2 linked regions of the Macaca fascicularis genome follow. The protein of the gene in region 1 binds, or shares a complex with, the protein of each later gene. Links are inferred from orthologs where the notes say so. Each region holds a gene or a part of one and is shown on either strand. Other genes may lie near its edges. The genes, in order: IFFO1 and XRCC4.

Region 1 (3,818 bases):
TGCATTTCTTTCTCTCCCTTCTCCCCTGGCTTTCCAGATCTGGATGTGATTCAGGTTCTCCTTTGTACACATTGCACCCTCATCCTCCTTGCAACCTAAAGCTTTTTTTTTAGTTGAGTCATTTAATCAGAAAGACTTTTTGTAGAAAATAAATTTCCTCTTGAGCCATCATGCACATCTGACTGCGGCCCCAGCGAGCCCTTCCTCCCTTGTCTGACTCTCTCTTTCTCGATTTCTTCTTGTTCTGCCTTCTCAGTCTGCAGCCCTGGCCTCTGCTGTGTGTCTGTGTGCCTGGCCCTTGGTGACTGTCCGTGTTTCTGTTCCTGTCATTGTAACTGTGACTTTTCTCTCTGTCTGCCCCACCCTTCCTGCTGGTTCACGCTTCTCCCCCATTCCCGCCCTCTCTGCCCGGCCTCCCGCTCCCGCCCTTTCTCCTCATGCACCCGGCCTCGTCTCTGTAGTCTCTGCACTTGTCTCCCATTAAGGTCCCATCCATGGGGGGGCGGAAGCGGGAGCGCAAGGCTGCCGTCGAGGAGGACACCTCCCTGTCGGAGAGTGAGGGGCCCCGCCAGCCCGATGGGGATGAGGAGGAGAGCACAGCCCTCAGCATCAACGAGGAGATGCAGCGCATGCTCAACCAGCTGTGAGTCCGCAGGCCGTGCTCCCGTAGCACCGATGCCACAGCAGCCCAGGAGGCCGGAGCTCCCCAGTCCCCCGCCAGGACGAGGCCCCGCCCGCCCTGACACCCGGGTTCCCTGTCTCTAGGAGGGAGTATGATTTTGAGGACGACTGTGACAGCCTGACTTGGGAGGAGACTGAGGAGACCCTGCTGCTTTGGGAGGATTTCTCAGGCTATGCCATGGCAGCTGCAGAGGCCCAGGGAGAGGTAACCTCTGCTCCCGGCCTCAGGGCCCTCTGGCTCTGCCTCTCCAGCCTGACGCCCACCCCCCCGCTCCTCTCCTCGCTCTGTCCCCCCATGTGGCTGTCATCCTCTACCTGCGTCTCCCCTCTTCCTTTATCCTTTTGCTTTTCTTTCTCCAGTTTCTTTAACCGGACTTCCTCTCTCTCTCTCTCTCCCTGACTTGGCCCTTGGAATGCGCCCTATCCCATCCCTCCCTGGCTGGCCTCCCCTGCTTCCCTTTCTACTCCAGCAGCAGGAAGATAGCCTGGAGAAGGTGATTAAAGATACGGAGTCCCTGTTCAAAACCCGGGAGAAGGAGTATCAGGAGACCATTGACCAGATAGAGGTAAGGGCAGGAGCGGAAGCCAGGGGCACAGTGTCCCAGAGGGTTTTGAGTGGGGCTGCAGGTGCAGTGGCCTCATCCCTCCTGCAGGACCCTAGAGACCAAGGTCTTGGGAGGAGGAGTGATCTCTCAGCTATAGTCCTTCTGGTGGGCTCTGAAGACCTCAGGCTCTAGAAGCAGAGAGATGTTGGTTCAAATCTCAGCTCTGTTACTTACAACCACTCTGAACGTGTAACAAGTTACTTGTTCCCTCTGAGCCCCTTCCTTCCTCCCTCCCTCCCTCCCTCCCTCCCTCCCTCTCTTCCTTCCTCCCTTCCTCCCTTCCCCCGTTTTTCTCTCTCTCTCTCTCTTCCCCTCTCTCCCTCTCTCCCTCCCTCCCTCTCTTGTCTTTCTGTCCTTTCTTTTTTGAGACAAGGTCTCACTCTGTTTCACTCTGTTGCCTAGGCTGGAGTGATCCTCCCACCCCAGCCTTCTGGGTAGCTGGGACCACAGGTGTGCGCCACCACACCCAGCTAATTTTTATTTTTTATTTTTTGTAGAGATGGGGTCTCCCTGTGTTTCCCAGGCAGGTCTTAAACTCTTGGGCTCAAGTGATCCTCCTGCCTCGGCCTCCCAAAGTGCTAGAATTAAAGGCACGAGCCATGTGTCCTGTCCTGTACCTGTTTCTATTTATTTATTTATTTATTTATTTATTTTTATTTTATTTTATTTTTTTTTTTTTGAGACAGGGTCTTGCTCTGTCACTCCAGGCTCACTGCAGCCTTGATCTTCTGGATCCAAGCAATCCTTCTACCTCAGCCTCCCAAGTAGCTGGGACCACAGGCGTGTGCTACCACGCCCGGCTAATTTTTTGATTTTTTACAGAGACAGGGTCTCACTATGCTTTCCAGGCTGGCCTCAAACTTCTGGGTCCAAGCAGTCCTCCTAACTCGGCCTCCCAAAGTGTTGGGATTACAGGCATGAGCCACTGCGCCTGGCCTTTTTATTTGTAAAATGAGGAATTTAATAGTACCTCATCTATAGGGTTGTTTAGAAGAGCGGATGAAATAATGCACATATGGAGCTTAGGGCAGTGTCTGGCTCATAGCGAGTGTAGCATAGTGGGGACCATTTTATTATTATTAACACTATCAGTGCCATAGCACTGAGACGGACCGGGACTTTTCTGTTTCTTCCACTCAGCCGTTGAGATAACAGAAGTCTCCATGCTTTTTCCCAAGCCTTGAAGTACCTTCTAGAGGTACCTAGAGGCAAGTGGAGCTGGTGCTTTAACTCAAACTCTAGGCTTTAGGACCTGCAAGAAGGATTTGTGGAGGCCGGGCACGGTGGCTCACGCCTGTAATCGCAGCACTTTGGGAGGCCAAGGTGGGCGGATCACGAGGTCAGGAGATCGAGACCATCCTGGCTAACACGGTGAAATCCTGTCTCTACGAAAAATACAAAAAAAATTAGCCGGGCGTGGTGGCGGACACCTGTAGCCCCAGCTACTCGCTACTCGGGAGGCTGAGGCAGGAGAATGACATGAACCCGGGAGGCAGAGTTTGCAGTGAGCCGAGATTGTGCCACTGCTCTCCAGCTGGGTGACAGAGCGAGACTCTGTCTCAAAAAAAAGAAAAAAAAAAAGGAAGGATTTGTGGAACCACAGAATGGAGGTTGCTGTGGGAGGAGGGATGGACGGGACCCCTGTGAGCTCTCCTGGCCTGGTGAGATGGTCCTTTCCCGACGCTCTGACTTGAGGAGAGGCATGGAGCCTTCTCTGACTCTCAGCCTCTCTTCAAGCCCATGTGGGAGATTCATACAGTAGTGCCCTCTTACCTGCAGGGCATGTGTTCCAGGACCCACAGTGGATGCCTGAAACCAAAGATAGCACTGACCCCCTGATAGCTTGGGTCCAGGTGCCATCAACCGGAACGTGTTTCTGTTCATGTCTTCCACCCACACATTCAATGCTTTTTCTCTCTTAACTAAGACTTAGCATGCGGTGTGGCAGTACCTTTTGCAGTTCGAGGTGTGACAGCAAAACTGGCACAAACTTCTTTTTCCTTCTTTACAATTTAACGGATAGAAGATTCTTACTATAGACCTTAGTAACCTCAGTATCGGATTCTTTTTCTTATTAAGTTGAAAACTTTTACCTTTTCACTTAAAGGGAGCACATTTTGGCTTCTCTTTGGCATATCCAAATTGCCAGCATCACTACTCTTGTGCTTTGGGGCCATTATGAAGTAAAAGTAAGGGTTCCTTGAACACAGGCCCTGCGATACCATGACAGTCAATCTGATCACTGAGATGGCTACCAAGTAACTAATGGGCAGGCAGTGCAGACAGTGTGGATCCTTGGGACAGAGGGAGGGTTCATGTCCCGGTCTGGATAGAGTGAGATTTTTTTTTTTCCCCCAAGATGGAGTCTCGCTCTGTGTCGCCCAGGCTGGAGTGCAGTGGCGCGATCTCGGCTCACTGCAAGCTCCACCTCCCGAGTTCACCCCATTCTCCTGCCTCAGCCTTCCGAGTAGCTGGGTCTACAGGCGCCCGTCACCACGCCCGGCTAATTTTTTTTGTATTTTTCGTAGAGAT
Region 2 (3,818 bases), on another chromosome or scaffold:
TAAGTTCCATATAGATTCTGGATATTTGACCTTTGACAGATGCATATTTTGAGAATATTTTCTCCTATTCTGTAGGCTATTTACTTTGTTGATAGTTTCTTTTGCTGTATAGAAACTCTTCAGTTTAATTAGGTCCTGCTTGTCAATTTTTGTTTTTGTTGCAATTGTTTTTGGGGACTTAGCCAAAAATTCTTTGCCAATGCCAATGTTGAGAAGGATATTTCCTAGGTTTTCTTCTAAGTTTTTTATAGTTTGAAATCTTACATTTAAATTTTTAATCCATCTCGAGTTAATGTTTGTATATGTTGAAAGGTAGGGCGATATGGTTTGGACTTGTGTCCCCACCCAAATCATGTGTCTAATTGTAATTCTCAATCTTGAAGAAGGGGCCTGGTGGGAGGTGATTGGATCCTGGAGACAGATTCCCCCCTTGCCATTCTCATGATAGTGAGTGAGTTCTCATGAGATCTGGTTGTTTAAAAGTTTGTGGCATCTTCCCCCCGGCTTCCTCCTTCTCCAGCCGTGTAAGACGGGCCTGCTTCCCTTTCACCTTCTACCATGAGGCTTCTCAGCCATGTTTCCTGTACAGCCTGTGGAACTGTGGCCAATTAAACCTCTTTTCTTTATAAATTACTCAGTCTCAGGTAGTTCTTTATAGGAATACAAGAATGGACTAATACATAGGGGCACACTTTCAATCTTCTGCAAATGGCTAGCCACTTTGCCGTGCACCATTTATTGTATCTGCCTTGCTTGTTTTTCCATTTCTTACTTTTAATTGAGATAGTTCAGTTATCTCTTTTGCCTAGGAGGAGTACAAGCAACTCTAAGACATTTGGCCAGAGAAAAGTGTTTAATGTGTTTTGAGTTGACAAAGAAAACGTATACCTGTAATAATTATACTTTTATCCCATACTGTATCATTTTCTCCTCCTTTGGAATATATTTTTAGATATTTAATTACATGTTACAATAATTATGCCTGTATTTATTGTTAATTTTAACATTGCAAATCCCAGAGGGTAGTACTTGTCATCTTGAATGCATTAATGCCTAGCACCTTGGCACTCCTGTGATGATAATATTGTCTGAAATTGGCTTGCTCAGAATAAGACAGAACATGTCCCAGGTCTAGTGGCAGCCAACCATAGTTAATTGTCTCTAATCATGATGCCAAGGAGAACTCGTTTCTAATAATCTGTGCAACCAGGTAAGGGTGCAAGCTTTTGAAAATACTCATCATCTAAACATACTTGATATGTGGGGGTTTTCAATAGTTATTCTTCTCTGCTGTTAACGGAAACTCGTATGTAGTTTATGCAGTATTAGCAGATAATAATAATAGTTTCCAAATATTTTGTGGGAATTTATAAGCATTTTCATTTACATCAACTCATTTCATCTTTAGACCACCTCTAGAAAAGTACTAATATCTCAGTTTTACAGTGGAGAGAATAGAAGCCCAGTTAGTTTAAATGACTTGCCTAAAGTTACATAGCTAATATGAAATAGACCTGGGTTCAAACTTGTTTTTCCCGACTTCAAGTTCCATGCTTTCTCAGCTATACCAAGGTGCTGTAACTCCACCATGGCCTTCAAAGTTGGAAATAGAGGGCTATTACCAAGTGTTACTGGGTTAGCTCAACCTAATCATAATCACCCCGGAAGCCACCTCTAATTGATAAAATTAAGCATACTTTATTTAGGTTCCACAGAGAACCACTGACAAGGTTTCTACAAGGATATTAACAGACATTCCAAAGCTTTACTTCTGATTGAGCTCTGTTATTCTCCAGCACAGTCTTTCTAAGACCAATTAATAGTGATCATGGCAGTCAGCCTGTTATCTTAGGGTTCAAAGAAAATATCTACATAAGTATAGCACTCAATCCATTGAAATAGTGACTACAATACGAACCTGAGTAAAATTTAGTTCACTAAATGAAGATATGCAGATTCGATAAATGAATATGGGCCAACATTTCATCAACAACTGCTATAAATGTGAAAAATCATTATTTTTCATATATACACATAGTCATCCGACCCACTAAAGGTAGTTCATGGGACCAAAACTTTCTGCTGCTAAGAGATTAAAATGCACGTTAATCAGTAGAATTTAAGAAAGCCAGAGTAAAATGTAAATTGTGATGAAATCATTAAAGGAGTAACTTGAAAAACCTTCTATATCCTGGCATAAAAGTGATTATAGCATAGAGGATAGAATATTTTATTTCTTGACCTCAATTATGAGTATTGTTATAGGTTTTTGAATTTTCCTGGGGTCAGAATAGAGACAGATTAATTCTAAAGCAGTTAGAGAAATTAGTCTCTTCATCTCTTTCCTTACAGTTAACAGCATAGAGAAGTAAATCTCGAAACCAATTTTGAAACAGGATTTGACTGTCATTTCACTTATGTGTCTCTTCATTTTCTTTTACTCTATAACAGAAGTTTTTAAAAATAAAACTATTTTGATTTTCTTTTCAACTCTAGGCCTGATTCTTCACTACCTGAGACATCGAAAAAGGAGCACATCTCAGCTGAAAACATGTCTTTAGAAACTCTGAGAAACAGCAGCCCAGAAGACCTCTTTGATGAGATTTAACAGTCTCAAAAAACACTTTGATGTTCACTAGACTATGTTTTCTATTCATTTCTTTAAAATGAAAAGGCAGAATTTCAAGTTAGCAGCTATTACTGTACCTTACAATTTAATTACATACACACTGAATTGAAACCATTGTGCAAAATGAATTACACATGTATACGAAGATAGTATTTGATGATGACACTGGCACATTATTCTAAACTATTCATTCAGCATGCCTATAATTACCTAAAATTTCAGACTTCTTGTTGCAAAGGCCACATTTATCATATTCATTCACACATATTATATGTGATAGCTATCTAACATCCTGTCTAGGAAGATTTTGAAAATAGGACAAAGAAAACATCCTTTTAAAATGTCTTCAGCCTTTTTTGAATAGACATATTAAAACATATTCTGAACACTGATGTTTGAGCATTTTAATTTGTGTAATGATGTATAAAATATAATTTTAGTTTGTACATAAACATTCTGAAAATCTGATAATAAAATTTTTGATACATTCAAGGTTTTGTGTTCTTAATAAAATGTGTTAAGTTAATTTTTATTATAGTAAGTAACGGGTTTTTAGAAACTGCTCATTAATGTAAATGTAACCCCCTTTGTGGCAAAAAAAAAAAAAGCATATTTTTCAGGGATTATTGATAAAAGATTTATCTTACACATACACGGGCCCTTCTTGAAGACAAGGACCTTGTCATAGCTCTTTGCAATAACATCCGGCACTATTGTCTTTGTAATCACTGTTTCTGCTTCTTAACCTTTCATTCTATCTTCACTTCTTACCTGTTTAATATCCATTCCTTCCATGTTATTCAAAGTTAACAATATCAGAGTTAGCCATGACCACCATGTTGCTAAATCCAGTGATTGGCCCATTCTTAGTCCTCATGTTATTAAGCCTGTCAGCACATTTTATATAGTTGATTGCTTCTCCCCAGTAAACATTTTCTTCACTTGACTTTTGCTATAGCATATGCTCTTTGTATTCCTCTTTCTTTCCAGTCACTAATTTTTTAGACCTTTTGGCTGATTCCTTCTCCTTTGCCCAACAGTTAAATGTTTGAATGCCCTGGGTTTAATTTTCAGCCCTCTTCTCTTCATTACCTACATTGTCACCCTAGGTTATTCTAGGTCGTTTGTGGTTTTGAATGCCATCTGTCTGCCGATATCTCCAAAATTAGCATAGTTTTCTTTGTAGTCA

Evidence for each region.
Region 2: the proteins of IFFO1 (region 1) and XRCC4 are in contact, whole or in part, in a crystal structure (PDB 6ABO), measured with the Homo sapiens proteins. The link is inferred for Macaca fascicularis from reciprocal best matches to the Homo sapiens genes IFFO1 and XRCC4. Residues at the interface, in NP_001317253.1 of Homo sapiens: Arg469, Glu470, Tyr473, Ile477, Gln479, Ile480, Glu481, Glu483, Leu484, Ala487, Lys488, Asp490, Met491, Arg493, His494, Leu495, Tyr498, Met501, Lys505, Leu508, Asp509, Met512, Cys515, Arg516, Leu518, Ile519, Thr520, Gln521; in NP_001304941.1 of Homo sapiens: Trp155, Val158, Gln159, Phe162, Glu163, Cys165, Val166, Lys169, Glu170, Glu173, Leu176, Tyr177, Phe180, Val183, Leu184, Lys187, Lys188, Lys190, Ile191, Leu194, His195, Lys197, Leu198, Ala201, Ala202, Arg205, Glu212.

The regions. Positions count from the first base shown.
Region 1 is NC_088385.1:7,467,821-7,471,638, reverse strand, and holds part of IFFO1 (non-homologous end joining factor IFFO1), read left to right. Parts: exon of another isoform or gene 1-461; coding exon of another isoform or gene 462-485; coding exon 486-643; intron 644-765; coding exon 766-886; intron 887-1,151; coding exon 1,152-1,247; intron 1,248-3,818. UniProt on the Homo sapiens protein: Nuclear matrix protein involved in the immobilization of broken DNA ends and the suppression of chromosome translocation during DNA double-strand breaks (DSBs).
Region 2 is NC_088380.1:87,285,611-87,289,428, forward strand, and holds the end of XRCC4 (DNA repair protein XRCC4), read left to right. Parts: intron 1-2,496; coding exon 2,497-2,608; 3' UTR 2,609-3,121; downstream 3,122-3,818.